Canis lupus familiaris: one gene and its partners. The protein of the gene in region 4 interacts with the protein of the main gene of each other region in a pairwise test. Links are inferred from orthologs where the notes say so. Each region holds a gene or a part of one and is shown on either strand. Other genes may lie near its edges. The genes, in order: SYNGAP1, ERBB4, DLGAP3, DLG4 and DLGAP4.

What was found.
Region 1: the proteins of DLG4 (region 4) and SYNGAP1 interact in a two-hybrid assay, tested with the Homo sapiens proteins (2 studies listed by BioGRID and IntAct). The link is inferred for Canis lupus familiaris from reciprocal best matches to the Homo sapiens genes DLG4 and SYNGAP1.
Region 2: the proteins of DLG4 (region 4) and ERBB4 interact in binary tests that used the Homo sapiens proteins (3 or more experiments, as listed by UniProt). The link is inferred for Canis lupus familiaris from reciprocal best matches to the Homo sapiens genes DLG4 and ERBB4.
Region 3: the proteins of DLG4 (region 4) and DLGAP3 interact in a two-hybrid assay, tested with the Homo sapiens proteins (2 studies listed by BioGRID and IntAct). The link is inferred for Canis lupus familiaris from reciprocal best matches to the Homo sapiens genes DLG4 and DLGAP3.
Region 5: the proteins of DLG4 (region 4) and DLGAP4 interact in a two-hybrid assay, tested with the Homo sapiens proteins (2 studies listed by BioGRID and IntAct). The link is inferred for Canis lupus familiaris from reciprocal best matches to the Homo sapiens genes DLG4 and DLGAP4.

What each region holds. Positions count from the first base shown.
Region 1 is NC_049233.1:3,029,871-3,035,327, forward strand, and holds part of SYNGAP1 (ras/Rap GTPase-activating protein SynGAP), read left to right. Parts: intron 1-256; coding exon 257-298; intron 299-689; coding exon 690-1,764; intron 1,765-2,169; coding exon 2,170-2,343; intron 2,344-2,571; exon of another isoform or gene 2,572-4,018; coding exon 4,019-4,230; exon of another isoform or gene 4,231-4,242; intron 4,243-4,848; exon of another isoform or gene 4,849-4,988; intron 4,989-5,326; coding exon of another isoform or gene 5,327-5,339; coding exon 5,340-5,433; intron 5,434-5,457. UniProt on the Homo sapiens protein: Major constituent of the PSD essential for postsynaptic signaling. Inhibitory regulator of the Ras-cAMP pathway.
Region 2 is NC_049258.1:19,995,455-20,001,424, forward strand, and holds the start of ERBB4 (receptor tyrosine-protein kinase erbB-4), read right to left. Parts: upstream 3,809-5,970; 5' UTR 3,649-3,808; coding exon 3,567-3,648; intron 1-3,566. UniProt on the Homo sapiens protein: Tyrosine-protein kinase that plays an essential role as cell surface receptor for neuregulins and EGF family members and regulates development of the heart, the central nervous system and the mammary gland, gene transcription, cell proliferation, differentiation, migration and apoptosis.
Region 3 is NC_049236.1:7,123,276-7,129,339, reverse strand, and holds the start of DLGAP3 (disks large-associated protein 3), read right to left. Parts: upstream 4,136-6,064; 5' UTR 4,037-4,135; intron 441-4,036; exon of another isoform or gene 328-440; intron 138-327; exon of another isoform or gene 1-137. UniProt on the Homo sapiens protein: May play a role in the molecular organization of synapses and neuronal cell signaling. Could be an adapter protein linking ion channel to the subsynaptic cytoskeleton. May induce enrichment of PSD-95/SAP90 at the plasma membrane.
Region 4 is NC_049226.1:32,392,384-32,398,295, forward strand, and holds the start of DLG4 (disks large homolog 4), read right to left. Parts: upstream 3,482-5,912; 5' UTR 3,356-3,481; coding exon 3,187-3,355; intron 2,512-3,186; exon of another isoform or gene 2,416-2,511; coding exon 2,317-2,415; intron 2,116-2,316; coding exon 2,075-2,115; intron 1,193-2,074; exon of another isoform or gene 1,036-1,192; coding exon of another isoform or gene 1,006-1,035; intron 1-1,005. Other genes in the region: ACADVL (very long-chain specific acyl-CoA dehydrogenase, mitochondrial), read left to right, coding at 3,697-3,758, 3,835-3,910, 4,183-4,248, 4,337-4,409, 4,491-4,555, 4,666-4,800, 5,207-5,351, 5,559-5,688 and 1 more. UniProt on the Homo sapiens protein: Postsynaptic scaffolding protein that plays a critical role in synaptogenesis and synaptic plasticity by providing a platform for the postsynaptic clustering of crucial synaptic proteins.
Region 5 is NC_049245.1:25,731,445-25,737,656, forward strand, and holds the start of DLGAP4 (disks large-associated protein 4), read left to right. Parts: upstream 1-2,674; 5' UTR 2,675-2,883; intron 2,884-6,212. UniProt on the Homo sapiens protein: May play a role in the molecular organization of synapses and neuronal cell signaling. Could be an adapter protein linking ion channel to the subsynaptic cytoskeleton. May induce enrichment of PSD-95/SAP90 at the plasma membrane.

The DNA of each region.
Region 1 (5,457 bases), on a different chromosome or scaffold from region 4:
ACTGAACAGGCCTCAATCCAGCAATTGAGAAGTAGCATACACACCCTAGCAGGACCTCCTAAGCCCCAACATCTGTTCCAATGCAGTGGCCTCAACTGCTGCTTGTTCTGCTGACCGCCCCACTTGTTCCTCCAGCCTAGTCTCCCTCCACAATGCCATCCCCATTCCACCATTCCCACCTCTCCTTCCATGCGTCCACACCTTCCACCCACCTCCTTCTCTGTCTGTGCTTGCCCCTCTTCCCATCTCTCTCCAGCTCCATCGACCTTCAGTCCTTCATGGCTCGAGGCCTCAACAGGTGAGGGGCTCTCCCCTCCCCCCGGCCCCCTCTCCTCTCCTGTCTGCTCCCCCTCCCCCTCCAGTGGCCTTCACTCTCCTCTCCTCTTCTCTTCCATGCACCCTCATTTCCTCCATACTTGCCCAGACCCACCCCTCATCCCTCTTCTCGGTGCCCACACCTTCCCTCCTCAAGGCCTTGCTCCCTTCCCAGAGGGGCCTTTCCTTCCTCCTTCCCACGTGTCACCTCCCGTGCTCCCTTCCAGCCCTCTCTAGAGCTGCCACCACCAGCTCTCCACCCTTCCCTGCGGGTCCCACTCCTCACCCCAAGGCCTGTGCCAGACCACAGCAGGCTCGATTGCCGGCAGCGTCGGCCTCACCTCCTGTTCCTCTGCCCCTTTCCCTTCCCGCAGCTCTATGGACATGGCTCGCCTCCCTTCCCCAACCAAGGAAAAGCCACCCCCACCACCCCCTGGTGGGGGTAAAGACCTGTTCTATGTGAGCCGTCCACCCCTGGCCCGTTCCTCGCCAGCATACTGCACAAGCAGCTCAGATATCACGGAGCCGGAGCAAAAGATGCTGAGCGTCAACAAGAGTGTCTCCATGCTGGATTTGCAGGGTGATGGGCCCGGTGGTCGCCTCAACAGCAGCAGTGTATCCAACCTGGCGGCTGTTGGGGACCTGCTGCACTCGAGCCAGGCTTCCCTGACCGCGGCCTTGGGGCTGCGGCCTGCGCCTGCTGGACGCCTCTCCCAGGGGAGTGGCTCGTCCATTACAGCGGCTGGCATGCGTCTCAGCCAGATGGGTGTCACCACGGACGGTGTCCCTGCCCAGCAACTGCGCATCCCTCTCTCCTTCCAGAACCCTCTCTTCCACATGGCTGCTGATGGGCCAGGCCCCCCAGGGGGTCACGGAGGGGGTGGTGGTCATGGTCCACCTTCCTCCCATCACCACCATCACCATCATCACCACCACCGAGGTGGAGAGCCCCCCGGGGACACCTTTGCCCCGTTCCATGGCTATAGCAAGAGCGAGGACCTCTCCTCAGGGGTCCCCAAGCCCCCCGCTGCTTCCATCCTTCACAGCCACAGCTACAGTGATGAGTTTGGACCCTCTGGCACTGACTTCACCCGTCGGCAGCTCTCACTCCAGGACAACCTGCAGCACATGCTGTCCCCTCCCCAGATTACCATTGGTCCCCAGAGGCCTGCCCCCTCAGGGCCCGGAGGTGGGAGCAGCGGTGGGGGCAGTGGTGGGGGTGGCGGAGGCCAACCGCCTCCATTGCAGAGGGGCAAGTCTCAGCAGTTGACAGTCAGCGCTGCCCAGAAACCCCGGCCATCCAGTGGGAATCTGTTGCAGTCACCGGAGCCAAGTTATGGCCCTGCCCGTCCACGGCAACAAAGCCTCAGCAAAGAGGGCAGCATTGGGGGCAGCGGGGGCAGCGGTGGCGGAGGGGGTGGGGGGCTCAAGCCCTCCATCACCAAGCAGGTACGTGAGGGTGGGAAGAAGGACGGATGGGTGAGGAACAGGGAGGGTGGAAGGAAATGGCTTTGTGGAAGTGGGGGCAGAATAGAGTCTGGCATCTGAAATCATACTTTTCTCACATCCTCTCATTCATTAAAGAAATTGTATACAGAGTCCCTGCTAGGTGCCATGTCCTGTTCTAGGCACTGTGGGTTTGACACTGAGTGCCACACACACCCTGCCCTCATGAAGCTCACCTCTCCAGAGGGGAGACATGATATGTAATTAAATAGCATTCACAAGGAGATTGAGACTAGAGCAGGGGAATGAGATGGGAATGGTCACCTTCTTTAGCAGTGCTCTCTCCTAAATGCACCCTACCTTTTCCCACCTTTCCTCTCTCTTCACTTCCACCTTGCCCCATCCCAGCATTCTCAGGCACCATCCACACTGAACCCCACAATGCCAGCCTCTGAGCGGACAGTGGCCTGGGTCTCTAACATGCCTCACCTGTCAGCTGACATCGAGAGTGCCCACATCGAGCGAGAGGAGTACAAGCTCAAGGAGTACTCTAAGTCGATGGATGAGAGCCGGCTGGATAGGGTACGCTGGGCCCCTCATCTTCCCATTACCCACAGGGGCAACCTCTAGATGCTTCTCAGGGAAGGACCCAGGGGTCAAGTAGTTACAGTGGAAAGAAGAGACAAAGACCTGATCTCCTTTCTTAAGAAGTGTCCAGTCTATTAGGGGACACTGGGTACACAGTCTGTCGGAAAGCCAACTTCCAACTTTATTTTGTGGCTTATACACATCATAGACTGCGGAGAAACGTTTTATGTTAAAGCTTATTTCCATTTTATTTCCATGTTCTTCCCCAGGGAGAACAGAAGCCCCGATTCCTATGACTACTCAGGAAAGGGACAGCTAGCTACTCTGCCAGCAGTGTGAGCTGATAAATTGGGTGGGGGGCCAGAGGGCTGCAGTTGTACTACAGACCATGTCCAGCTTACCCAGGCATTGTTCCACCAGCACAGATGATAGAGGGTTGGTGTTGGAAAGTGGTATATGTTGGCCCACGTGTGGAAAGACCAGATCCTCAGCTGGTGGTGGCCTAGAGCAAAAGACAGCAAGAGCTCAGGGCACACACACATAGCTCAGCAGTGCTCCTTGGAGAGGCTGTTGCTCCAAGGGCTCTGAAGAAGAGGGTGGCTGTAGGATTAGGTTAACGTAAAGACTGTACGACTCCAACTCGGGGAAGCAGAGAGAGGTTTCTTGGGAGCTGTGGTTTTTGAGCAGAGGAAAATGTTGGGACTGTCTAGATGGACTTGGTATAGCAAGTCCCATGAGAGAATTAAGCCCTAATGCCCAAGGTAGCCACCTTTGGTAATAAATGACATCTCTCCTTTGCTTCCAGAGTGGGGTTGGTTCTGTATGTATCATCTTTGGAGAATGAGAAAATACTCTCAAGTCGTTTTTTCTGTACTATGACTTGGATGAGATATTTTTGTTGAGGAAGGCTCTAGAACAGTACCATCCAGTAGAGTTTTCTGCAGTAATGAGAAACGTTCTATGATCTGCATCGTCCGTATGGCAGTCACCAGCCTCATGTGGTTGATGCAGCTGAGGAAGGAAATTTTGTTTTATTTACGTTTTAAATAGCCACACATGGCTAGTGTCTACTGTATTGGATAGCACCACAGCTCTAGACTCTAGAGCCAGTAGGGCAGATAAAATGACTCCTCTGTGCCCTTCGAGCCCCAGAATTCCAGAATCATTATCAACAGAGGCAGTCTTAGATTCTCAGCCTGGAGTTGTTTAAAGCCCAGACCTGGAACCCCACATAGCCTCTCCTTATCCAGTGTCTTTTCTTCCTGGGTCTCCCCACCCTCCCCATGTGCTCTGGTTGGACTGAGGAGTCACCTTAAGCTTTCATTTCTAGGTAGGATCACTCAAGGTGAGTGGGAGGGGAGTCTGTATATGTTTGTGTGTGGGTCCTTGTGTGTCCAGATTTACATGTGCGGGCAGGTATATACTGCTCAGGGCATGGGAGCATATGATCTTGGTCCATTTTAAAGGAGCCTTAGGTAGCTCCATAGAAGGGTCTTCTCAAAAGCCACCATGTCTGGTATAATCAGCAGGCAGGGAAAGGACTGCAGAAGGCACCTGGGTTATCTGTCCCTTACCATGCAGTGGCTGCTTGGTAGGCAAGAATGGAGACGGGGTGGTGGGTCAGGGTGAGGCGCCCCTCACAGTGCGGGGTCGTTTGCCCGGCGGGCAGGTGAAGGAGTATGAGGAGGAGATCCATTCACTGAAGGAGCGACTACACATGTCCAACCGGAAGCTAGAAGAGTATGAGCGGAGGCTGCTGTCCCAGGAGGAGCAGACCAGCAAAATCTTGATGCAGTATCAGGCCCGACTGGAGCAGAGCGAAAAGAGGCTAAGGCAGCAACAGGTGGAGAAGGATTCGCAGATCAAGAGCATCATTGGCAGGTGAGGGGCGGCCTGGGGAGGGGTCACAAGGGAGAGCCTGAGGCTGAGGAGAGCCAGCAAGTTCCCCCTCTAGCCTTCAGCCCCAAACTCAGGACACCATGAGGAAAGCCCACCACCTGCTCCCAGAGATTGCCACTCACTACCAATCACCAAATGGGGAGAAACTTCTCGCTCAGGGCATAAATGAACCCTGATCTCTCTCCCGATAGAGTAACTTCTTAAATTCTTGGACTCCCCACTGGTTAGTCTCAATCCAGCCTGTGATGTTCTCCCCAAATCTAAGCAGAGACCTCTAGCCAGAGTAGCCCCTAGCCATTCCTATCCTGGGTAGCCCCTCCCTCCAGCCCTGAAAAGATGTTCTCTTAGAAACTGAATGACCAAAAAAAAAAAAAAAAGTAAAAGAAACCGAATGACCCTTCTGTTAGCATATGCACATTTTCAACTGCTCTGCCAAGGCCTGGCTTCCAAAGAAGGTATCTCAGCAAGGCGGTCAGCTTATCCTGAGAAGTGGTGGGACTCCAGGCTGGACTCTAACTAGAGCCAGTCCCATTTTGATCCACTCTGAATGTAGTTTGGATTAAGATTAATTAGAAGAAAAAGGCTTGACTTGAAACTTACTTTGAAACCCTGTTGTAATTGACATCCTTGATGGGAAATCGTTTTGAGAATCTTCATCAAAGGCACGGAGGTGCTGGGAATGATGATTGTAGAGACCCCTCTTGGTCTTGGGGTATCCCAGGGGTGGCACTGGTGGTGTCCTAGGTTCAGTGAGATGGAATGGGAGATGTAGAAGTGAGGCCTTCAGCCACAGAGGGGCTGTGGGAGGGCACTGTCCTGAATGGGAGGGTGGAGGGCCAAGGGGGCATCTGGGTGATAGAGGTCTTTGAATCCCAGAAAGCTGTCCTTAGCAGGGAGATGTGAGGGTCCCTGAGGGGAAGGTTAGTATAGGGAGTCTTTGGGTCATAACAATAGAAGGATTCTGAGGGCAGAGGAGAAGGACGCCTGAGGCTTTTCCAGAGAGCTGCAGGGGCTCCCCCAGGATCAGGAGTTCCACTGGCAGGCTCCGAGCCCGTGCCCGCCACTAACCCCACTGAAGCCCGTCCCTTCAGGCTGATGCTGGTGGAGGAGGAGCTGCGCCGGGACCACCCCGCCATGCCTGAGCCGCTGCCTGAACCCAAGAAGAGGCTGCTCGACGCTCAGGTGGAAATTACAATGTCATTTATCTTC
Region 2 (5,970 bases), on a different chromosome or scaffold from region 4:
GAATGCTAAATATTTGAATCTACTTTAAGAAGGAAATATGATTTTTCCCTCAAGTGAATGCAAACTCTAAAAATCAGCCAATGCAAACTTACTGTGTTCAGGTTAGTGTAAAAAAATACATAAATCTTCCATGAAGTGCATGCCCTGGTAAATATTCTAATGTAATTTCTTAATTAAGACACATTTCCAGTGACTAAATGAAAAAATATATAAAGGATTAAGTATTGATTTTCAAAAAACTTTGACTTTATATGCATGAATGATTAAAATAAAAGCAGTTTAGTTTAAGAGGGAAAAATCAGAAGATGAGGAATTTTTACACAACCAACCATTCAATTTTATCGTAACAGTCCATACTACAGTATTTTCAAGTTATTTACAGTTACAATGAGTATAAACTTGTTTAGAAGCATTCTGAAGAAAAAAATGCCTTCCCCTAAAAAGATCCCTTTGACATATATAAGAATTTCAAAAAAAAACAAAAACAAAAACAAAAAACGTGTATCCTGTGGGTGTGCTTACAGTAAACACATGTAGGAAAGATTTTTTTTTAGTGTATTGAACATCTTTTTATCTACCTAAGTTTTATTAACTTTTTCCTTCTCAAATGTACAAAACAAAACCCCAACCCTAAGTTTGAAGATACATCTTAATATGTAGGAAAAAACGTATGTTATTCTATAGCATGAAAAGCAGAATTAAGTTACTTGCAAATAAGAAATGGAAACTGAACTTGTTCATCCCATATCTATTGAGGTATGTAAGAGCATCACTTCAATATTATATATTGTAATTAAATACAAAGGTGATACTATTTTTAAATCATGCCAGGAAAACAGAAATTTTGAAATTATCCCTTTTGGTAGAAAAGGCTTTATAACAGTCCTATAAAGGGCCTTTGGCTATATACTATATATATACATATATATATAGTATTTCTGGATAAAATGAATTACTGGAAATGAGACAAAGTCCTGAGACATATTTAAAAATTGTTTTCTCTAAAGCTGATTTTTTTCCCAAGCAAGAGAAGAAAAAATAAAAACAGGTCCTTTCCCATTATAATTATTTTAATAAATATCTTAGATCTATACAACAGAATCCTCCCTCCACCCATATCTTTATTCTGTTCACATAGAGCAGTAAATAAGGTGCATTCCTTCTGCTTAAGAAATTAGCATTTCAAAAATATGCCACTTTCCCCTGAACTCCAAGCGTGTCTAATAATGCGAGAAGCAGATTGTCTTCCCTCGTTTCCTTAATTTGTTTCATCTAAAAGCAATTCACTCAACATCTTGTCGCCCTCTGGCAGCTTAGTTTACTTATCCGCACTTAATTTCTCATTTGGACCAAAACAAACTCCTCCAAACTGCTACTGACTGCTAACCGCGAGAGGGGAGACACGCAGTATGTATTTACTTGGGAACAGACAGCCCCACGGACACAGACACAGACACACACAGCCTCACTCACACTCCACACAGTAACTTGGTTTCGTGAAAGCACTGTATTAAAACCAGCTGAACTTTCCCTGCCAGGTGCGGCAGGGGTGGTGGGGGCGGGGGGGGGGGGGTGAGGAGGGGAATAGGGTGAAGAAAGAAGTCCCCAGGGGCATTTACAGTTCCCAGTGGATCACCTTAGCATGCGTGTTGCAATTGTACCAGGGATGCACCGAGAGCTTTTCTTTGTGCGGCCCTTTCATCTGGATCACTCTGTGTTTTGAACAAGTGAGGCTCGCCTTTGTGCCCCTAGAATTTCAAGTGCAGAGTCACACACAGAACAACAATGGCACGCTAATCCCCGCGCTCTACAGGGGCTCACTTGTGGGTCTGACCATTCGCGGGGGGAAGCGAGAAGAGACCAGCGAGGGCGCGAGGCGGTGTCGCCGGAGACGAGGAAGGGGACAGCTGCAGAACTAATTTGGATTGCATTCTTTGCAGAAATTCTGAAAAGGGCTTTTCGGCATAGCTCACCCCTGAGCCACACAGTTAATACCGAGTTGCTGCGCACTCGGAGCCGGGTCCCCCAGCGGCCGAGGCTGCACCGACAGCCCCCAGTGGGCTGCCTCGGACTCGGAGAAATCCCTCTCGCCTAAGTCTGCGTGTCGGTCGCACACGCTTTTGAATGGGTCAATGTGCATAATCGACCCATTGAGGGAAAATACGAAGGGACTCGGAGTGCGGAGGGAGGAGGTAAAAGGCACGTATCTAAGAGGCCGCCTGGAATCCGCGGTCGGGGCTGGTGCGGTTCCGGCGGCGGCTGAGCGCGCGACCCGGTGCGCATGAAGGACTCCCGAGGATCGGGAGGGTGCAAACGGCGAGCACCAACGGCGCACGCTGGTGCCACTCGAAGGTCATTCTGAAAGGCTCGGCGCCTGCGACTTGTTATTTACTAGGCTAGGAGGGAAGGCGGCAGCGGCGGGGGCGGAGCGCGGAAGGCGGCGCGCGGCTCCCGGTGAGGTCAGGGGGACGCCCTCCGGGGGCCCGACGCGGCCCGAGCCCCGCTCCCGGGCGCTCCCGGGGGGCTTCACCCTCCCAGCTGCCTCCCACGCTCCCGCCACCAGCCCGGGGTGGCTCCGGAGATCCCCCCCGCTCTGCAAAAGGCCCCCTTTGGCGGCATCAGACCCACCGGCCTCCGTCCTTTCCCGCCCCGCTTTCATCCCCAGGAAACTCAAGTGTCAAAAACTTTGAGCAGCCTCGCCCTGCAGGTGCCGTGCGTGGCCCTGGCCGCCGCGGACGCCAGCCCACCCCGGGCCTCGGGGGCGGTCGGCCTGGGCCCGTCCAGGTGCCCGGGCTCGCGCCTTCTCGCAGGCGGTGGCGGTGGCGGTGGCGGAGGCGGAGGCGGTGGCGGCGCCGTCGCTCCCGCCTCGGGGTGGACCGGGTCGCGCCCCGGGTCGGCTCGGCAGCCGCGCCGGGCAGTAAACAGCGAAGTTGGAGGGACTCGGGCCAATAGAAGTTGAACTACAGGAAGAACTCTTCCCGGAGCCAAGCCGGGCGACGACGGCAGGGCCGGGCTCCCGCTCAGGGTGTCAAACCCCTTCCCTGCCCCCCCCCTTTTCTTTAGAGAGAGCCCGCGGGCCAGCGAGCTCCGTCGAGTCGGCGGCGCGCAGGCTGGCGGCCGCCCCAGCGGGGAGGGACCCGCGGCCGCACAGGTGCGCCGCCCGCCGGCTCGGGGACAGCCCCTGCGGAGCCCCGCGCGCCGGTGCCAGGCGTTCGCTCTCGGGGCGCCCGCACGGCGGGACCGTCCAACTCGGGAGCCTCGGGAGCCGCGTGTCCCGCGGCCCGCACAACCGGCAGGACCCGCAGAGATCCCGCTTTTAGGCTCCCCCGAAAACGCGGGAGAAAGAAAGAAAGAAAGAAAGAAGGGGGTCGGGGAGAAAGGAAGGGGGGAAAAGGGAGGGGGGACAGGGTCGCAGAGTGACATTTCACGGTAAGTGAAACGCAGGTACACGAAAAAGGCTAAGTTTGGGGACGGACAGACGGAGGGAGGAAGGGAAGCCAAGCCCGAGGAGGAGGAGGCCGGAGGGGCGCGGGGGGCGCGGGGGGCGCGGAGCCCCGGACACCCACCTGACTGGGAGGCGTTGGGCTGGACGGTCCCCGCTGCCAGCAGAAGGCTCACCCAGACCCACGGTCCTGCCGCCAGCTTCATTTTCTGCAAGTCTCAGATCCCGAGCTGACAATTACATGTCCAAATGGCATCTCCCCTGTCGGGCACGCGGAGGAGGGCCCCGAGTCCGGCGCGCCCGGGGCGCGGTGCACCGGCTCCCAGCTGGAGCCGCCGAGGGCGAGTGCGCGTGCGAGTCCGAGTCCGAGTCCGAGTCCGAGTCCGAGTCGGCGGGGCCGGGGCCGGGGTGCGGGGGCGCGGGGAGCCGGGGCCGGGGCCGGGGCCGGGGCCCGAGGAGGGGCGTGCGCGCCGGTGTGCGCGGGGCCGTGCGCCCGAGGGTGTGCGCGTGCCGCTCGGGGCCGGACTGGGCAGCGCTTCCCCCGTGCGAGCCTCCGCGTCCTCGCTCCCTCCTCACTTTCTCGCACTGGTTGGTCAACAATAAAAAGGAAGGGGGGAAAAGGCTTTCCAAAAAAAGTTGATTGCAAAGAGGCGGTAGGTTTCCGGCCTCTCCCCGCAGCCGGGCTATGTTGGGCTCCCTTTTCAGTTTCCTTGCACCTCCAGTCCCAACTGGGAGGGGATGGGAGGACGAGGGCGGGGGGGGGGGGGGGGGCGAGGGGAGGGCGCTTCTCGCTTCTCCCCCGATCCTGTCCTTCTTTTTCCCGTCAGCTTTCCTCACACTTGTCCGGCGGCTGCGGTAATTAAAGCTCCGAGCGTCATTTCCAACGCTCCGCGGTCTCCAGCTGCAGCCCCACCGAGAAATTAATAAGACTCCGGGAGGGGGGAAAAAAAAAAAAAAAAAGGTGGAGGGGGGGCGGATAAAACAAGCCTCCACGCAACCGGGCTGGCTCGGCTCAGCCGCGAGCCCCGCCCCCGCTCTGACCCAACTGGCCCCGCCTTTTTCCCCGCCCCCCACCCCCCAGAGGGGAATCTTATTGGCTCGTACTCTCCCCAAAATCCTCAGTCTCAGGAGTTGGGAAAACACCTGTCTGGGAGCGGGCGCGTGCTGCGGGGGGCGGGGGAGCTGGATTTAAAGGGCTCGCCCGACCCAGCCGACCGACGCCGAGGCCCTAGACAGCGGCTTGCGAGCGCGGAGACCACCGCAGGGTTGCTCACAGATTTTTTTTTTTTTTCTTTTCCTTAAACCAGAAAGTCCCCGTTTTCTCTACTGCCCCACACACAGTGCTCATCCACAGACTGGAGCTGGAAATAGAAGAAAAGAAAACGTTGCTTCGGGCATAAAGCCTTCACCCTTCTCCAACCTCTAATGCTGCTGCACACTCAGAAAGTAGTTAAAAAGGTGGTTCGGGAGCTGGGAGGCTCTGCCGGTTAGGTGGTCCTGGGAACACAATCACCCGTTTTTCCAACTATGCCATCCCTCCCACAATTCCCACCCTGCCGAACTGACGGCATTTATATAGCTACAGCCTTTGCTTTTCAGACCTCGTAAGTCTTTTTTCACCTTTTCCTTGGACTTGGGACAACTTTGTATGGGGTTCATTCTCATTAAACAGATTCTCGTCCAAAGGTATAAATGTGGTTCTAAAGGGCTAGAAACTCTCTCACTCCGCAGCTGTTACTGTGAAAGAACTTAAGGCCATACCAGGACATGGCCAACACAAATGATTATTAGGCTTATGCTACAGTAGACCCAACTTTAGGTACCTTCTGCGAGTCCACACTCCCCAGTCCCCATATCCCTAACTATAGGAGTTTCTGTGCCTTTCTTGATTAAAAATATCCTGGATTTGGGTCATATCAGTGTACATATCCCTTGCCTTTTACAGCTCTGAAACGGTACCCTGGGCAGAGGCCAGAACCTCCTGGGGGTAGTAGGTTATTGGTTTGCTATTTGCACAGGCATTCTATGTATGGATTACTTTACTTTTTATATTTCTCCAGAAGCAGAAAATATATAAATAAAAAGTATCAGGGGAGCTTAAAAATCAAGCCACCTCACTCATCATTTGAGACCTTCCCATTCCTCCCCCACATCTTTTATCTATAGCCTTGTCCCTAAAGAATTTTCATGGAGCTGAGAACAGAGAGAAGCAGCAGCCTCATCCCAGAAACCTGAAGCCTTCCCTTTCTTAGGCCCACAGCAAGGAACAGGCACAGAGAGGAGTCCAAACAAGCTGAGTATGTTGTTTTACCCAGGAGCAGCCCAGTGCCTGGAGAAATTAAGCCCAGAACAGATGATGGTGACTTGACCAGAGTGGTACTGATTGCTTCAGAATTGTGCAGGCTGCTCTTTGGGATTATCTTTGCTTTCTATTTTTATCATCCTCCCTCCCTCCCATTTTCTTTCCTTTCATTCATTCTCTTCTCAGTCTCCTTTACTTAAATCTCCTTCTGCTCCTTATGATGATG
Region 3 (6,064 bases), on a different chromosome or scaffold from region 4:
GTAGGCAGATGTGGTGGGGGGAGGCCGAGAGAGGTAGCTCCCCACACCCCGATCGGAGCCCCCTTTCTGAAGGAGCCAGCTCCCATCTGGACTGGGGGGAGGAGAGACATGTGGAAGCACTGATTGAGGGGAGGGGAGAAGAAAAAGGGGAGGAGGCAGGAGCGGGGGACTGCAGGGTGGGGGTGTCGGGATGGGGGCAAGGGAATCCTTTTTAATTTCATTCTCTCTCCATGTCTACATCAGCCCTGCAGGCTCAGCTCTTTAATATTTACACATAGGAAGAGGAGAGGATGGGAAAGAACAGAGAGTGAGGGGGGCAGGGGGTACCTGAGCTCAAAGGACACAGAGGCAGGAGCCTGCAGGAGCTGGGAGCTTGAGCCCCCCGCCTCCTTCCTGGCCCGCTCCCATTCTGAGCTCTTGGCTGGGAGGAAGAAGGGACCCCGGGACCATTCTGGCCCTTTGTTAACAAGACACTTTGAAGCCGCATCAGAAAAAAGGATCAGATCCCCACCCACATACCTGGACACCCCCACAAACCCAGATTTCTTGGGTGCCTTATGTGCAGATGGTAGAAGCAAGTATTCAGGCGCAAGCATGTTCTGATGCTCGGAAGCATGTTTTGCATGTGGGCTGCTGGGCAAGCACATGAACACATCAGCTAGCATGTGCAGGTCGGTGCAAGTATGTTCTGGGTGGATTCCCATGTCACAGCCCAGGCGATCCTACACAAACTTATGTAATCCCACGCGTAAATCGGCCCCCAAGTGACCCAAGGGCAAGGCCATCCTCTCCCCCCAGACACCCTTACTCATCGGCCCTTCCCTCGCAGCCTCACTTTTCCTTTCTGTGACTTGGGGACAAGGGCTGGTGGGGAGGCAGGCTGCCTCGGAGCCCAGGGACTTGACGAGTTATTAGCAACAATGAGCTAGCAGCTCGTTACCATAACGATGGTGCCGCTGCCTCGCCCCAGCTCAAACCCAGACTCCCCAGGCGGCAGGAGGCCCGCTGAGCCAGCAGTCTTCAGACTGGGGCTGGGGTGGGGGGGCAGGCGGGCAAAGAAGGCAGCAAGACACGATGCTTGTACAGCGGAGGGCACGCAGCTGGTCCTCCAACTCCCACTGAGACAACAGTTGACTCCACCAAGTGGGAATCAAATCAGACTCTGGGAAGGCTTCCTGACGGCGGAGACGGCAAGACCCTGGAAGGGGTCTGTAGGAGCCCCTCTAGGCAAAAGATTCGGCTGTCATTTGCCGCCTCGTCCCCTCACTCCAAGAAACTCTTCCACTGATCTTAGCAGATTAAGAGAAAAAATTTAAAAAAAAAAAAAAAAAACACCAAATAGAAGGCCCCTCTCTGAATTCCAGTCTTCCCATCTGGCAAATGGGGACAATTATCTTAGCGTTTACCCTAGGTTTCTGGAAAGTGTGATTCGAAAGGGTTTAAGGGTAACTACAGACCCTCCCCAAACCAGAAAAGCCCCAGAAGTTTCTCTACCCAACAGGAACCCATGAGATAAGGACTGTCAGGCCAGCTAGAGGCGGAATGCATCAGAAACTGGGTGGGATGAAGGAAGATGGAGCCCGGCCAGCTCGAGCCCCAACATCAGCTGGAGAGAGATGATGTGAGGTGCCAGGCGGCAGCTGAAAGCAGGCACCGCCACGGAGAGTCTAGGAGTCTGGTCTTCAGCAGATCCGGCCCCTCACACGCAGGAATCCGGACAAGCCCGTGGCCTACTCCGCGGTGGGCATGGCCGCGAAGCCACCCCCAACCCCTGGCCCTCTCTTTTATAAAGGGTCCCAGGCTAAAGGATCTACAGCCTCGGGCTTATTGGGTCTTTGAAACCCCCTCTGCTCGGCTCTGACGGGCATAGACTGGGGCGGGCAGGGGGTCCAGGAATGGAAAGCAACGCGCAGGGTTGGAAAGTTTCCGGGCTGAGACTCGCCAGGAACACGCAAGTTTGCTGTGTGACCTTGGGCAAGTCCGCGCCCTTCTCTGGGCTTCGGTGCCCTCACTTTAGAATCAAGAGGTTAGAGCAAGTCAGTCCCAAGGTTCCTCTCCCGGCCGCCGTTCCACAGCTCCATGCAAGCGCACCCCTTGGACAGGAGCCCCCTGGCATAAAATGCAGTGGGCACCACGTGCAGGATCAGTGGGGGCATTGAGGGTGGGGGCTGCAGGGCTTGCGTCTGAGGCTGTTCATCCTATGCTCATGTTCCTTTTAGAAACACCTGCCACCCTAGCCCTCCCAGCTCCCTTTTTAGACCCTGATTCACTGCCAACTCACGAAGCCTCTCCCTTCCCTCCCTCCTCTCTTCTCCCCCAATCTCTCTTTTAGGCCTTGGCAGCTGGGTGCAGAAGTAGCCCCGGCACTCAGGGAACGCTGGGTGGGGGGAGACACGGCGGCCCAGGGTCTGAGAGAAGACGCCGGGAAGCGCCACTCTTTCGCCTTGGCCCAGCCCAACTCTGCGAGTCACCCCAAGACCTGGGTTGGAGTCCTTCTGCCCCGCTGGTTAGCAGGGGGCAATCCGGAGAACCGCCATTCACCTCTGAAGCCTCAACACCCTCATCTGTCAACCGGCATCATACTAAGCCAAACTACGTGAAATTGCTGCTCTTGTAGGCAAAAAACAAAAACAGCTGAATCCTGGCCCTTTCAGAGCCTTAACCGGGCCTGCCTGCTTCCTGAGGCTGTTGGGGGGATAAGAGGAAGGAGGTGAGGAGGGGTTAGTTTTTCAAAAGCCCTGCACTGATACAAAGGCACTGTTTTCTTACTATTCTTACTTCAAAAGCTTTAGCACAGACCCACCTGGAGCCAAGGGCCTGAACAAATGACCCAGAACTTGGAAATTTAGGACTTGGAAGTCTGGGAGACAGCCACCTGCTCTGATGACTAACAACAGGACAGCAGCTTCCACCTGGCCTCCTCAGCTCCTGGCACTAAGGGGCCCTTGGTGAGCGTCACGGGGGTGACACAAGTTCCTAGGCCCCAAGATTCTTAGCAGCACACACACTCCCGCGCCCCCCGGCCCCCGACCACCGGGGCCCCACAGGCAGCAAGGACCCAGCCGTGGCATCGTGGGGGGTGGCCCCTGGGGAGGTGAAGGTGAACCTCAAGGTGGGGAACGCAGCGCAGCCCTTGCCTGAGTCAGGGGCAGGAGTCGCAGGCGCGGAGGGATGACCCGACCTGGGCCAAGTCTCATCTCCCAGCGCCAGGCCTCCCAGCACCCGCGGTGTCCCCGTCCCCGTCCCCGTCCCCGTCCCCGTCCCCGGGGAAGGAGGGACAAAGCCCGGGTGCTGTGATTCAGAGTGAGCCCCGCTCACATACAGCCTGACACACACACACACACACACACACACACACACACACACAGGCCACGGATGCCCGGACCACTCACGGAGACACAGGCACACGGGCACACACACATCCTGTTCGCAGGGACATACACAGGCACGCGTGGCGGCCGCGCACACGCTCATTCACACACATGTCTACAGACACACACAGCGACACACTCCACGCTCACACCGCACACACCCGCGGACACGCTCGCGCCGCGCACACGGCCGCCCGCAGACCCACGCGGGGACACTCGCACACTCACCGCGGGCACCGTGACACGCACGCACACTCGCGCACCTGCAGGGGAAACTTCTCTCCGGGTCTCCCCGACACCACCGCTGCCCCCGCGGCCGGCGGGCTGCCCCCCCCGCGGCCCGGGCCCCCCGAGCCCCCCCGCGCCGGCCCGCAGCCCCCTCGGCCCCGCGCGGCCCTCCCGCCGCCCCCCTGCTCGGGGTCAGGCCGCGGCCGCCTGCAGGGGCGGGGGCGGGGGGGGCGGCCCAGGGCTCCCTCCTTCCCTCCACCCCTCCCCTCCACCCCAACCCCGTCCCTCCCCCCTCTCCCCTCCCCCCCGCCCCCTCCCCCCTCCCCGGGCCCGGAGCCGAGGCCGCGGGCGCCCGGGGCGTGGGCGGCGCCGGGGCCGCAGCCAGGCCGAGGCTGGGGGGCGCTGCCGAGGGCGCGGCCCCGGCCCCCCGCGCTTACCTGGCCCGGCTGGGGCTCCGGCCGGGGGCCATGGTGCGGGCGGCGGGGGGGGCGGCACTGCGGAGCCCCCGGCGGAGGGGCCGCGCCGGCTGCGGAGCCCCGAGCGAGCGCCGGGCGGCTGCGGGCGCGGGAGCGGGAGGCGGCCAAGCCACGGAGGCTGGATTTCCCGGGGACCGGGACGGGGAGGCGGGGGGATCCCGCCCGCGCGCTCCGCCCCCGCCCCCGCCCCCGCCCCCGCGCGCCTGCCCGGCCCGAGGCGGCCGCGCTCCTGCCCCCGCAGCGGCCCGGGCTCCCCGCCAGCCCCTCCCCCCGGGACCACCCGCGCCGCGGGCCCGGGCAGCCACCGCGTCGCCACCACGCGCAGCCGGGGACACGGTCGGGCAGCCCCGGGCACAGGGCTCGCGCCCCCCGAGGCAGGTCACAGCCTGGGTGTCACCCGGGAGCCCCCCCGCATCCCCTCGGGAGGCTCCTCGGGCCCCCCCGTATCCCCCCCCGCATCCCCTCGGGCGGCTCCTCTGGCCCCCCCGTATCCCCCCCCAATCCCCTCGGGAGGCTCTTCGGGTCCCCCCATCCCCTCGGGAGGCTCCTCAGGTCCGCCCCCTGCATCCCCCCCTGCATCTCCCCCATCCTCTCGGGAGCCTCCTCGGGTCCCCCCGCATCCCCCCCATCCCCTCGGGCGGCTCTTTGGGTCCCCCGTATCCCCCCCCCGCATCCCCTCGGGAGGCTCTTGGGGTCCCCGCGGGCCGCCCCCCAGCCGCGGCCGGGGAGGGGCGCTGTGCCCGGGGGCCCCCCAGCCTGACACCGGCGCGGCCCAGGCCACCTGCCGGCCGGCGGCCCCCCAGCCCCTGTGCCCGCCCACCTCGGGGCCCTGGGCCGTGCGGGGCGCTGCGGGGAGGGCAGGGGACAGTCCAGCCCGGAGGCGGAGAGCTGACTGCAGCACTTCCCGGCTGGAGTCGGTCCCAGCGCCCGGGAGACGCTGGGCGAGGCGGGGAGAGGGGGGCCTGGGGAAGCCGCAGGGGGAGGGGCTGGAAGGCGGGGGAGGAGCTGGTCCTGGGTTCGGATTCCGCGGGGTGCGGCGGGCGCCGGGAAGGGGGAGCCTGTGCTGCTTGGAGCCCCCCTCCGCCCTGCCTGCCTCCGCCGGTTCTGGTCCCCAGCCAGGGCTCGGGAGCCTCGGAGACCAGCTGTCCTAGCTGTCCTCCTCTCCAGGGACACACATTCAAGTTATTGTGACTCCACGTTCACCCAACTACCCCCTTTGCCCGGTTCCCCTCTGGGGTTGCCGGCTCTCTTCCTTGTATAAAGGGAGAAACTGAGGCGGGGAAAGTAGGAGTCACAGGCTCCAGAAAAGTTAAAACTGGGAGTAAGCCCTTTCCCCTTCCTGCAGAGAACTGCTTAAAGATCCCACATGACATAAATGACAAAAAGGAGTGTGGAGGGATCCCTGGGTGGCGCAGCGGTTTGGCGCCTGCCTTTGGCCCAGGGCGCGATCCTGGAGACCCGGGATTGAATCCCACGTCGGGCTCCCGGTGCATGGAGCCTGCTTCTCCCTCTGCCTGTGTCTCTGCCCCCCCCCCCCCTCTCTGTGACTATCATAAATAAATAAAAATTAAAAAAAGAAGGAGTGTGGAAAGCCCTTGCCCAAGGAAATCTAGACTCTGGGATGGGGGCCGGGCAGGACGGTTACCTTGCCCTGCGCTGCGGCCCACGAGAGCGTTTCCATCAGGAATTTTCAATCTAAGCTAAGGTTGCAGCTCATTTCCAGCCCAGGGACCAGGCAAAACCAGATACAACAGAAAAGAAAGTGGAAAGTTGGTCCCAGGAACCCACCTTAGAACTGAAAGAACCACTTTGCTTTCCGTGGAGGATAAGACCAGCCATCACTAGGACACCCAGGGCACCACCGTGGTTTCCGAGTCCTAAGATGAACGTTTTGTTAGCTATTCTGAAATTGGAACGCATCCTGCAACCGATAGGGACCTTCAATACGGTTTTCTGCTTTTCTCTGAAGGCTGTTATCCAAGGGTTGAC
Region 4 (5,912 bases):
CGGGGTCCCCCTCCGCCGGTCCTCACTGCTGCCAACCCTGCCCTCCTCCTCCAGCTCCTTTGCACCCTGGGAACCTGAAATCCAGGTGTCCTCCCCCACCTTGATGCCAAGTGACAGGGGTAAGGGGAACATGCCCCTCCATCTGCTCTTCTCCTTTCTCAACAAGGGGTGGATACAGTGTGGGAAGAGACAGGGATATTGAGCACCTGCCTGGGCCACCCCCAAATTCTGCACCACCCACCTGGTCCCCTCCTCAAATCCCCTCTCTCCCCAAAGCTCTCCTCCTCCTCCTCCTCAGGGTCTGGCATCCTCCACTGCTGCAAGCCTCTCCCTCCCAAGGGAGCACCCCAAATCCTCACCTCACCTGGTCCATTCCCTCAGGTGATCCTGTGTCAGGCGCTAGCCCTCTGACAACTCCCAACTATCCCGCTCTATAGGACCAAACCCTGAATTCCCAGTTCCCCGTAATTGAGCGTACCCCCAAATGTATCCACCACAAGACGCTTGCTCTATAGGTTGAAGGCCCACCCCTCCTCTGCCAGCTGACACCCCCAGACCAGTCAGGCACTCACAGCCAATAACCGTCTACCCCCATGCCAAGAGCCCCCTGAAATTGGACGAGACACCCAGAAGCCAGTTTGTCCCTCAGGAGGGAAGAGAACCCCCCCTCACACAGTCCACCTTCTAATGCACAAGAGCAGGACTCCCATGTGAGCCAGGCTTCTCCTTAAATAAGTCTCCCTCAAACATCATTGGTGAACCCCAAAACCCATCAGCCCCCCCAAACCACAAAACAGCCCAAATTTTCCATTTCTCTACAGGTACAAAGAGATCACTCCAGGGGGCACCTGTGGCCAAACCTAGCATGATCTCAAATGTGAACCCCCAAAGTAAATCATGACCCCCCAGTACACTCCCAGCCCCCAGCCCCAGATCAGGCCTGCCTAACCCCTCCCCACAAACTCATACCCTCCCCCCAGTTGAGAGCCCCCCTATCGTGCTTACCTTGGTTGTCACTATACAGAGACAGTCCATGTTGGGGGGGCTGGCCGCGGCGGCGGGTAAGGGGCTCTGACTTCATCGGAGTTTCGTTCCTCCCCTCTGTGGGTTCTCACCCCTCCCCCCTCCGCACCCCACTTTTGCAGGGGGGGCCAGGATGGGGGGAGGGGTGAGAGGGGAAAGAGGGGGTTGGAGAAGGGAAGGGGAGGGGTGCGTGGGAGGGAGGGGAAGGGGGCCCTAGAAGGGAGTCCCCAGTGGAGGGGAGGGGGCCTGGGGAGCACACCCCGATTCTCAGGAGGGGCGGGGGCACCGGGGGCTGGCAGCCCCGGAGTTCGGGGGCTGGGGCATGAGCTGGGTGGGGGAGGGGAACTGGATTTCAGGGAGCCCCGGGGTAGGGGGGGGGTCTTGCCTGCCGGCCAGGGGCTAGGGCCGCGGCGGGGGAGTGGGGTGGGGGGGTTGGAGGCGGCAGCGGCCGAGGGAGCCGTGGAGCCGAGGAGGGAAGGGGAGAGAGGAGGAGAGAGGAAGCAGGGGGAGGGAGGGAGGGAGCGAGGAGCGAGGATGGGGGGGTGCCTTGGCAGAGTTAACTGCTTCAGTGCTGGCAGGAACCCGGATAATGGGAGAGGAGAGCAGAGCGGAGGCAGACAGGCCCCAAGGCAAAGATGGAGGCCTGGCCAGGCACCAGCGCCAGAGATCAGGAGGCCTCCTGGGTCTCAGGAGAGGAAGCACCCGCTGTGGGGCTGGCAGCACCCATGCTAGTTGCAGTGCTGGCTGGCGGGAGGGGGGGTCTGGGGGGGCAGGCAGGGGGGAGTCCGGTGGGGGGGCAGCTCTCCCTCAGGCTGCACAGGAGGAAGGATGAGAAGTAATTCTGTGCTGGACTCCTTATGCCCGAAATTGGGGCCAAGGGAGGAGGGGGGCGGGGAAGCAGAAGGGGAAAGGGACCAACAGGACCGTGGAGTCTGGGATTCTCTGCACCCCGGGCTCAGAAGTCTGTCTTCAAGGCCCCCAAGGGTGGGGCGGCAGCTCGGCCCCTGCCCTGTCTGCCCCTCTGGGGAGGCGCCCCACCTCACCCCCTTACCTGGCTCTCTGAGATGGAAGCCTCATAATAGTCCAGGATGTCTGTCACCAGAATACAGCTGAGTTACCCTCCCCCACCCCACCTGGGGGGGCTCCCCTGCCCCCACCCCTGCCCTGACTGCTGCTGGCACCTTAGGGCCTCCTGGCTGCCAACCGGACAGTCCCCCAAGTGTGTTCACTGCCCTGGCAGGCCCAGGCCAGCCCTTCGCACCCCAGCGTCCCCAGAGAATCAGGGCTACTCACCCAGCAGGGCCTGGAAGAGGTCACTGTGCAGGACAGCCAAGAGAGGGGGCGCCCATCGCAACAGTGGGGGGGCCAGGAGCCAGAGGGCTGACCGGGGAGCTGGTGAAATGCAAGCGAGGGAGGAATGGGATGGGGAAGAGACCCATGGACCAAGGCGCGGCTCACTCACCTCCCCTAGCCTGTCCCCTCTCCCTGGGCTTAAGTGGGGTGGGGAAGGATCAGCAGGAGGGTCCTCAAGTCCCAGCCCCACTCGGCTCCGCCCCCAGGCCTTTCCTCCATGGGACTCTCCAGTTTCACCTCTGGGTCTCTCGGACATCTCTCTTCTCTGATTTTAATCTCCCTAATCCCCAGGGTTGGAGCTGAGCTGCCTCCCCACCAGGTTCCAGCCTTTAGCCTTTAGCCACCGAAGTGGGCAGTCCTGTCCTAACCCCCTGGGTCGCCTGGCACAATGGTCTCTCTTCCCAAAGCCAGGGGTGAGTTTGCTGCACTTTCCAGAGGGACTGGGCACTGGGGACGGGGGTGGGGGTGGAGGGGTGTCCCCAAGGAGGCTCCTGCAGCCCCAGCCCAGGCCTCTCCCCACTGGGTGTGTCAGCAGGGCAGGGGTATACATGACCTATACATGACCTGGGACTCCTTGACCCAGAGCTAGGTGTGTGTGGTGAGAGTGGGCGACAGAAGAATCCCTACAGTTCCACTCCCCCTGGGAAGAGTCCAGGATGTCACACAGTCTCAGGAGGAAACAAGGGCAGAGACTCCAGCGCCCCAATGGGGAGGCGGTGAATTTGCAGAGGGGAAGGGAGGGGAGGGCCCTACGGTGAGAATTCAGGTGTTTCTAAAGTTAGTGACACCTCAGGTCTCAGGAGAATATACCTGGGCCGCCCCACGCCACCATGTCCCTCCCTCTCGTGTTGATGGAGATGGGTTTCACAAGGGACTCCATAGAGTCATCTGCCCCTGCTTCCGCCGTCTTACATTTTTTTTCTCCCACCTCTCCCTTCCAACTCCACCGGGGAAGTCCTCCTGTTGGCCCACCCTCCATCCCTCCGGCTGCAAAAGCCTGAGCTGCTCCTCCTTCCACCCCAGCCTATCCCATCGCCCCTTCCGAGGGCTACACTCGAGCTGGGCCGGGTGGGACGAAGGCGTTTGGGAGAGACGGAAACGTCTGGAGATAGCCCTACGTTAACCAGAATGCAGGGGCGGGGTGGGGGAGGCCCCGCCCCGGAACTACATCTCCCAGCATGCGCTGGCGGCCGGAAGCCCAGCCCCCCCGGTGCATTGTGGACGATGAGTCAAGACCGGACCAGGGCAGCCAGTCTTTGGCAGACGGGTGGACGGCGCTAGATCTGCGCTCAGGACCGCGGCGACCGGAGTGGTTGGGAGATGCAGGCGGCACGGATGGCCCCGAGCGTGGGGCGGCAGCTGCGGAGGCTGGGGGTCGGAAGGTGCGAGTCGGACAGGAGGGCAGGGCCGGGGTGGCAGCGGGACCGGGGACCCGGACTGAGCCCCCGCTCCCCACAGCTCGCGGCCCAGCGCGCTCCTGGGGCAGCCCCTGCCCGGTCCGGCCTGCCGACCCTATGCCAGTGGGGCCGCTCAGGTGAGTGACGGCGGCCTGGGGCGCGCAGAGCGGGAGGCGGAGTCCGCCTCGGCTCCCCCTTCCCCGCCGCCGGCAGGGGTCTCCCTCTCCGTCCCGGACACCTGGCGCCCGCGGTAGCGCCGAAAGTAGGGGAAAGGGCAGGCCAGGGTGCCCTGACGATGGAAGTAGGGGAAAGGTCGCTGCGTCCGCCTCCGCCCGCACCCAGCGCTTCCCGTGGTCTCCAGCTCCTCGGGAGTCCCTTACCGGGCCTCGCTAACTGTCCCTTTCCCCAGGCGGTTCTGGAGAAGTCAGATTCCCACTCCTCTGAGGCTCCGACCAGAGAGAAGCAGGCCAAGGCGGTACGTGGCCTCCATACCGGGAGGACCTAGGCCAGGGGCTCACCCACTGCAGCAGACAGCTCGCTGAAACCCCCTTCTCCCTGAGCAGGAATCCAAGTCCTTTGCTGCGGGGATGTTCAAGGGTCAGCTCACCACCGATCAGGTGTTCCCTTACCCATCTGGTAAGTAGTCGTCGGGGCGGGGCAGGGCAGGGCCTCTCCACTTCCCCGGTGACCTGACCAGCCTGTCCTTCTCCCCCACAGTACTCAGTGAGGAGCAGACCCAGTTTCTCAAAGAACTGGTGGGGCCTGTGTCCCGTTTCTTTGAGGTGAGGAAGGACTGGGGTGGGGGAACAGAGGGCTTTGGTCCCTGATGGGATGGCAGAGGTGTTCAGCAGCCAGAAAGGAACCTGGATGCGACATCCTGTGCCTTCTCCAGGAAGTGAACGATCCTGCCAAGAATGACACGTTGGAGAAGGTGGAGGAGACCACACTGCAAGGCCTCAAGGAGCTGGGGGCCTTTGGTCTGCAAGTACCCAGCGAGCTGGGTGGTGTGGGCCTCTGTAACACCCAGGTGAGGGAGCCCTGGTCACTGCCAGCATCGCAGGCTATTCCAACATTGCTGATTAAGCGCCTTCCTCATGTGACCTAGGGTTTAGGTTTGTCAGTTAAGGGGGGGCCTGTGTGATGTTGACTGTGCCAATATTTGCATCTTTCAAAACAAAAAACATGGCTCTGTTCCCAGTACATAACACCTTTCCCAACAAAATACCAAACTATATGATATCCCTCCGGGCCACAGAATTCACCCAGTCTCACATGCCCTAATGGTAGGTGGGAAGCCTCCAGACCAGGGTCCCATTCTACCATGGGAACATTCTTTCCAGTCACTATGTAGGGATGCCCCTATTTGGCCCTGCCAAGACACCCCCCCCCCCCCGATGCAGTCAGTTAATCCCTGACACTGCTTTTCCCCCCAGTACGCCCGCTTGGTGGAGATTGTGGGCACGCATGACCTTGGTGTGGGCATCACCCTGGGAGCCCATCAGAGCATCGGCTTCAAAGGCATCCTGCTCTTTGGAACAAAGGCCCAGAAAGAAAAATACCTCCCCAAACTGGCATCTGGTGAGGCGGCTCTAGGAGCCCCAGCAACTGGGGGTGTCCCGGGCTGGGTACAGATGCCACCACACAGCTGGGTGGCTCAGTACATGGGGGTTCTGGGAAGGATTGAAGCTGAGCATTTCCAGGAGCACTGAGGGAACGGCTGCAGGCAGGGTGCAGACAGCGAGGGGCCTCTGCCTGTCAGCAGTTTAAAGGTGCTCTCACCCACAGGGGAGAGCATAGCTGCTTTCTGTCTAACGGAGCCCTCCAGTGGGTCAGATGCAGCCTCCATCCGATCATCAGCTGTGCCCAGCCCCTGTGGAAAATACTATACCCTCAATGGAAGCAAGATCTGGATCAGGCAATCCCTCTACCCTCCCATACCATCCTGTCCTCCCCCCTCCACCTCTTCCTAACTTCAGGCCCCCCCTGCTCTGTCTCCCGCACCCTGATAGCCCCTCGTTTTTCCATAGTAATGGGGGCCTGGCAGATGTCTTCACGGTCTTTGCCAAGACACCAGTTACAGATGCAGCCACAGGGGCTGTGAAAGAGAAGATCACAGCTTTTGTGGTGGAGAGGAGCTTT
Region 5 (6,212 bases), on a different chromosome or scaffold from region 4:
GGGCAGCTGTGGAAGGAACCGTTTCATAAAGTACTTTCCATGTCCATTATCCCTTTATCCCATCATACATTTGCCCACTACTCCTGGCTACTCTCTGAGATTATATGACTTGCTCAGGATCATTCAGCCAGAAGGTGGAGCCTGGACTGGTAGCCAGGTGTGCGTCATAGGATCTGGAATTTCAGTTCACTTATTCAATCAGCAAACATTTCTGGAGCACCTACTGTGTGCCAGACGTTGCAGCATTGACCGTGATGACCAATGATGATGGCCTTGCCCTCCTGGAGCTCCCAGCCTGATGAAGGAAGCAGTGTCAACCAGTGATCGTGAAAGTGATTTTCTTATATCAGTATAAGTGGCAAGAAGGAGAAACCCAGGATGCTCTAGGAGCCAGTAACCAGGGGCCTGATGTAGTTGGGAGGTCAGGAAAGGCTTCCTGGAGGAGATGAATGTGAAGTGCAAAGGCCTCTGGCATAGAGGGTCTGTGGGGGTGTGGGAGGCTTCTTGGGAAAATATTTCTTGGTTTCCCAGGCCTCAGGGGAAGAACACTGAGGGGACTGCAGGTTCCCAGAGGATGGCTGCCCATTTGGAAGTTGCAAAATGTTTGTTAGCTTTGGATTGTTGTAACAGGTTTTTTGAGATAGAATTTATATACCATCCAATTCACCCAATCAAAGTGTACAATTTAATGTTTTTAGTGTATTCACAGAGTTGTGCAGCCATCACCACAATCCACTTTAGAACATTTTCATTATTCTAAAAAGAAATCATGAGCCACTTAGCCATCACTCCCTCCCAAGCCCCCCACTGGCAACCACTAATCTACCAGCTTCCATACAGAATTGCCTGTCTCGGACATTTCATATAAGTGAAATCATACGCTATGTGGTCTTTTGTGACTGCCTCCTTTCACTTAACATAATGTTCTCAAGGTTCATCCCTGTTGGAAGTCCCAATCTTAAATACCATCAGAGCTGGCAGGAACCTAAGAGACCATCCTGTGTGCTTCTCCCACTTATTGTAAAGTGGGGAATCTGGAAGGAGATGTGCTCCAGTCCTGCAGCAAGGACATTGGGGGGAATCCCCAGATCAGGACCCCTGTTCCCCCTACCCTGAACAGGAGCCTTCCTCTGCTATCACCGCTTCTCCTTCTGCTTTGGCTCTGGGTGATTTGGGCTAAAAGTGACAACGTGGTTGGTAATGCGTCCTCCCAAGTGCTGGATTTCCATGCACTGGCAATTTTCACGCCCCATGGTCTATCTTGAAATCTTTTATGCATCTTTAAGAATTTGTGTCCACTAATTTAGAATTTTTTGGAGTCTGATATTTTCTTTTTCTGCTACTTAAACTTTTTTGTTTGTTTTTGTCCAGACAGTCACACCTGTTTTCCTTGGTTGGTGATTCTTCCACTGGGGGAGGCAGGGTAGCATTGGGGTTAACGGCTGGGTCTTGGCATTGGATGCCCTACCCCTTTCTCATTGTGTGCCTGTGAGTAATTGCTGAAGCTCTCTGAGCCTCAGTTTCTCCCTTTGAAAACCAGGAATAACACTGTAGGGCTGTGGTGAGGAACACATGGAGTCAAGCCTGTTTGGGCTTGGCAAAGAGTGGATGCAGATACAGGGGGGTTATGAGGGCTTTCCAGGGCCTTGGGGTAACCAGGAGAGGAAGGTACCATTCCTCACCATCGTCTGGCCTTTCCTCTGTATTCCTACTGTACCTCCCCTCTCAGGGCTTGAGTTCACATTCCAGCCCCACTTGGATTCTCTGCCCCCACATCAGCTCAGGTTCCTCGGTGCCTCAGTTTCTCCACCTGTAGAATGAGAGACTGAGGGCAGGAGCTTCCATGGAAGCCTCTGAGGTAGCCACAAGGCTCCTGGGAGGGGGCATGGAATGGAGGCACCCCTTCCTCCTCCTTCCAGGAGGGCCTGCTTCCTGCTGATTTAAAGTTCCAAGCAGGAGCAGTGGCACCTGTTCAGGAGAGGTGGGTGGAGAGGGACACCTGGTTTCCCTCTGCCTCTCGCACAAGACGTGTTATATGGGAGGTGGTGGGCAGAGAGGCAGTGGAGGGCCTCCTACTCTGCGTGCAGGGGACAGGGGCAAAGCCTGTTTGGAGGGGCTCTCTCAGGTAGATATGCCAGGCCGGGTGTTACCTTCTCAATCCTCACGGCACCCCTCAGAGAAGGCATTCTTACTCCCGTTTGACAGGGGGGGAAACTGAGGCTCGGAGTGGGGCAGCTGGCTGCCCAGTGTCGCTCAGTGAGTGAGGGGCTGAACTGGGATTCGAACTCAGGCCCGTGTGACTCCAGCCCCTCCCCGCTCTCTCCCCCATCCAGGGATAAGAAGGGAGAAGCAAGGCAGTGGTGGGGCGGATTGGAGCCTTTGGAACCCCGGCTTCCTGGCTGCTGTGGGGATTCTGTGGGTGGTGGGAAAGGCATCGTAAATATGCATGACATGTAAATACGCCTCTGAAAAACAATGTGGGGGCCCACGTGAGCCAAGATGCCAGAGTGCTTTGGAAAATGTAGTGTTGTGCAAACACTTGGGTTTCTATGATGATTGCTCCGTGGTATCTCCCACTCTGGTGTTCACAGGGCCAGTCCAGCGGGCTCGGGGTGGAGGGATCACCTCTGATACCTCCTCATTAACACTCTCCCCCATTCCTACAGACGCTGGTGCCTCCCCCTCTGCCAGGTGCTGGGTGGCTGGAACTGGGTCTCTCTGGGTGCCAGAGGGCGTTGTCCTGTGCTGCTTCCCGCCAGCACCTCCGATTGAGTGCCCAGAGGAATGTGTGTGCCAGCCCTTGGTCCAGTGCCTGCTCCCGAGCTGACGCCTGCTGGTTCCCGACTGGTTCCCATCTTCCCTCTGCACGTAGCTCCCTGGTTGGTAAGTAAGTGCGTCCGTAGCCCGGGCACACGGCATCGGGGCTGCTCACCCGCTCACCCACGCTCTGCACAGTTGGGAGATGCCCAGCCTTCCACCCAGTGGCGCCCACGTGCTGGCGAAGGGACCCCAGTGAGAGCTTTTCTGTCTGGGCTCAATTTATAGTTTAACTGCTTGTCTTACTCAGTCCTCCCCACACCCCAGGAGGTGGGCACAGTGATTGCGTCTGTTTTACGGGAGAGAAAGCCATTTGCCTGAGGACACACAGCAAATCCAGCTCTGACTACCTCAGAGGCCAGCTCTTGCCCAGGGGCTTGGGCAGTTGACACTGTGGGCTCAGTAAGGGAAGGGGAGCAGTGGGCCATGCTGGAAGCCGTGGAAGCTCTGGGGCTCACAGACGGGCTAAGGTGAGGCCATTGGAGTTCCTGAATATTGGGGAGCCCCATTGTTCTTGCTCCTTCATCCTGTTCCACCCACACTCCTCTGGTCCCCACTTTACCTAACCCCAGAACAGGATGAGGTGCAGCACCCCACCTCATGTCTGACCACCGTCTGAGGATCCCACAGTGCACCCACACCTGGTCCCGTCATCCTTCCACACAGATGAGGCTGACAGCATGCCCCCTATTCCCCACAACAGTGCCTAACACTCACCACATTCCTGAATCTCACCCTCCCACCACCTCTCAAGGCTGTTCACAGATGAGGAAACTGAGGCTCATGGGAGCTCAAGGGGCTTGCCCGGGGTCCCCCACCACTACTCAGCATGGAACCGTTGATTTGCGATCTGCCTCCTTATCTGACCTCAGCTCCTCAAAGGTGAGATATAACTGCTTCATTCCCGCAGGGGACAGCCAGTGGCTGGCACAGTGCCTGGCAGATAATGGGTACACAGTGACTAGTTGTGGAAGGAAGGAAGAGGGAAAGGAGAGAAAGGACTCTCCCCTCCCTCCACCCAGACACTTGCAGGCCCTGGGAGCCCATTGGCCTTTTGGCCAGCTGCTGGTCCCTGCTGATCGCAGAGAGCTTGCAGTCAGCTCAGGTCAGCAGGACAGCCAGCCCCTCTGGTCTCAACTCTCTTATCTGCCAACAGCGGCCCAGCCTCCCTGATGGGGTGGTTATGAGAAGGGAAAAAGACTCGTAAATATGTATAATATGCAAATGTCATAGGATAATAAAAACCCATGAAGTTCGCTGTACATAATGTATGTAGAAGTGCTGCTTCTTCGAGAACAAGGAGCTGCACACTCGTGCGGTGCCAGCCTCATTAATAACTGGGAAATGCCCCTATTAATTAGCTGCCCCCCAGCCCCGCTCCCCCGGTCTGGCCTCCGCCTGTCGTAGCTACAGACAGCTATCGCATTTGGCTGAGATGCTGTTGCCAGAAAAGAAGCGATAAGGGTATGGCGGTCTGAGAGCTGTATCTGTGGGATGTAATCACTGGCAAACAGTCCTGGTCATGCCCTAGGCTCTGCGTGTCTTCCCCAGGGACTAAATACATAACAGGAGCAACCCCAACCACAGCAGGCATTTCTTGAGCAATTACTATGTGCCTGGCCTGGCACTAATTGCTTTGTTTTCTTCTCATCTCAAATAGACTACAACGACCCTGTGGGAGGTTGAGGCATATGGACCTGGGGCACAGGGCTCATGCACCGACATTCTGGTCCTTCCTGAAAATGCCTGCCATCGGTGTGCATGTGCCCCTACCCCCGAGCCAGAGGGGCAGGGCTGCGGCCACTGAAATAACAGTGTGGCTGGCAGCCCCCGGTGTGTGTGGCCCAGTGACGGAGAACGGGATTCCTTGGCACGGGTTGGGAGAGCAGCCGTCAGCATTGTAGGAAAGATGGAGGCTCGGGCGGCAGCGAGGGAGGTGTTACTTGCAGCTATTTTGCTAACAAGCTGGTTATTTAAAGAAGAGCTAAAGCCAAAGTCGGAAAGCCGGATGGGGAGTCTCCACGCCCTGAGCAGAGGCAGCCAGGGGTCTGGGGGCCTGGTTGGGTCCGGGTAGAGTAGCCACACATTTGTTTTTCATTTGCTTATTATTAGTAATAATAGTAACAGCAAGCACCAGTAGAGTCTGGAAATGGAGAAAAGAGGCTGGAAGGATTGGGAGGGAGGCAATAATCTGTTCATTGACCCAGGTGGTGGTTACAGAATGCTTTATTCTGTGATCATTTGTTGCAGTCAACATTTTTTTAAAAGATGTATTTTATTTAGAGAGAGAATGTGAGCAGGGGTGCCTGCTCGGCAGACAGGGCAGGGCACCAGCCCCAGAGGCATTCCTACATCCCCAGGGCATTTGTCGTGTGCTAGTCCCTGCTGGTCTCTGCCCTCACAGAGCCCAGAAGCCCAGAGGAGAGGCAGGTATTACTCAATCACCCAAATAAGTAGTGACCAAGAAGAGACTCCATCAGTGCAGTGAAGGAAATGAGCATGGTGATGTCGTAAATACTAACATGATCGGAGGGCCTGAAGGACGTGGAACAGTCCAGGATGGCCTCCCTAAGAATGTGGCCTCTGAGCTGTGACCTGAAGTATAACAGGGATCCCGACACGCTAGAGAGTGTTCACTGTAGCACTGTTGACTATAGAAGGACGGTTGGGAACAACCCATTTTTCCATCACCAGGGGACTCGTTAAACCCATTTACTGAAGTCATACAGTGGCGCCCACTGTAGCTGTTAGAAATGGATCTGTGGCCCTAAATTCCCCACTGTGGAAAGAACTTCATAGTGTATTGTAGAGTTGGGGAAAAAAAGAGGTTATAAAACAGCATGGGCAGCATGATATCATTTTTGTAAGAGCTACATGTGTTTCTGAAAACTGTTCACAGTGGGGGCATGGGAGATCTTTGCTGTGTCTTCTCTGTAATTTTCTAGATTTGGGGTGCTTCCTAAGTGTTAGGACTTGGTGGGGAGAAACAGGGAGTTTGGGCTTCCATGGTCCTGCTTGAGGCAGTTCCCCTCTCCTGCTACCTACTGCAGTAAAATGGGATGAGGCATGGGGTGGGGAATTAGCAGATGTGGGCCACACTTCAGTTTTACCACTTCTTGACTATGTGACCTTGGTCAAGTCACTCTCTCTCTAAAGCTGACTTGTCCCTTCTATGATTAAGAGACAAGAATAGCATCAGAGGGTGGCTGTGGGGCTTTCGTGAGTTAAAACATAGAGAGGGGATCCCTGGGTGGCGCAGCGGTTTGGCGCCTGCCTTTGGCCCAGGGCGCGATCCTGGAGACCCGGGATCGAGTCCCACATCGGGCTCCCGGTGCATGGAGCCTGCTTCTCCCTCTGCCTGTGTCTCTGCCTCTCTCTCTCTCTCTCTGTGACTA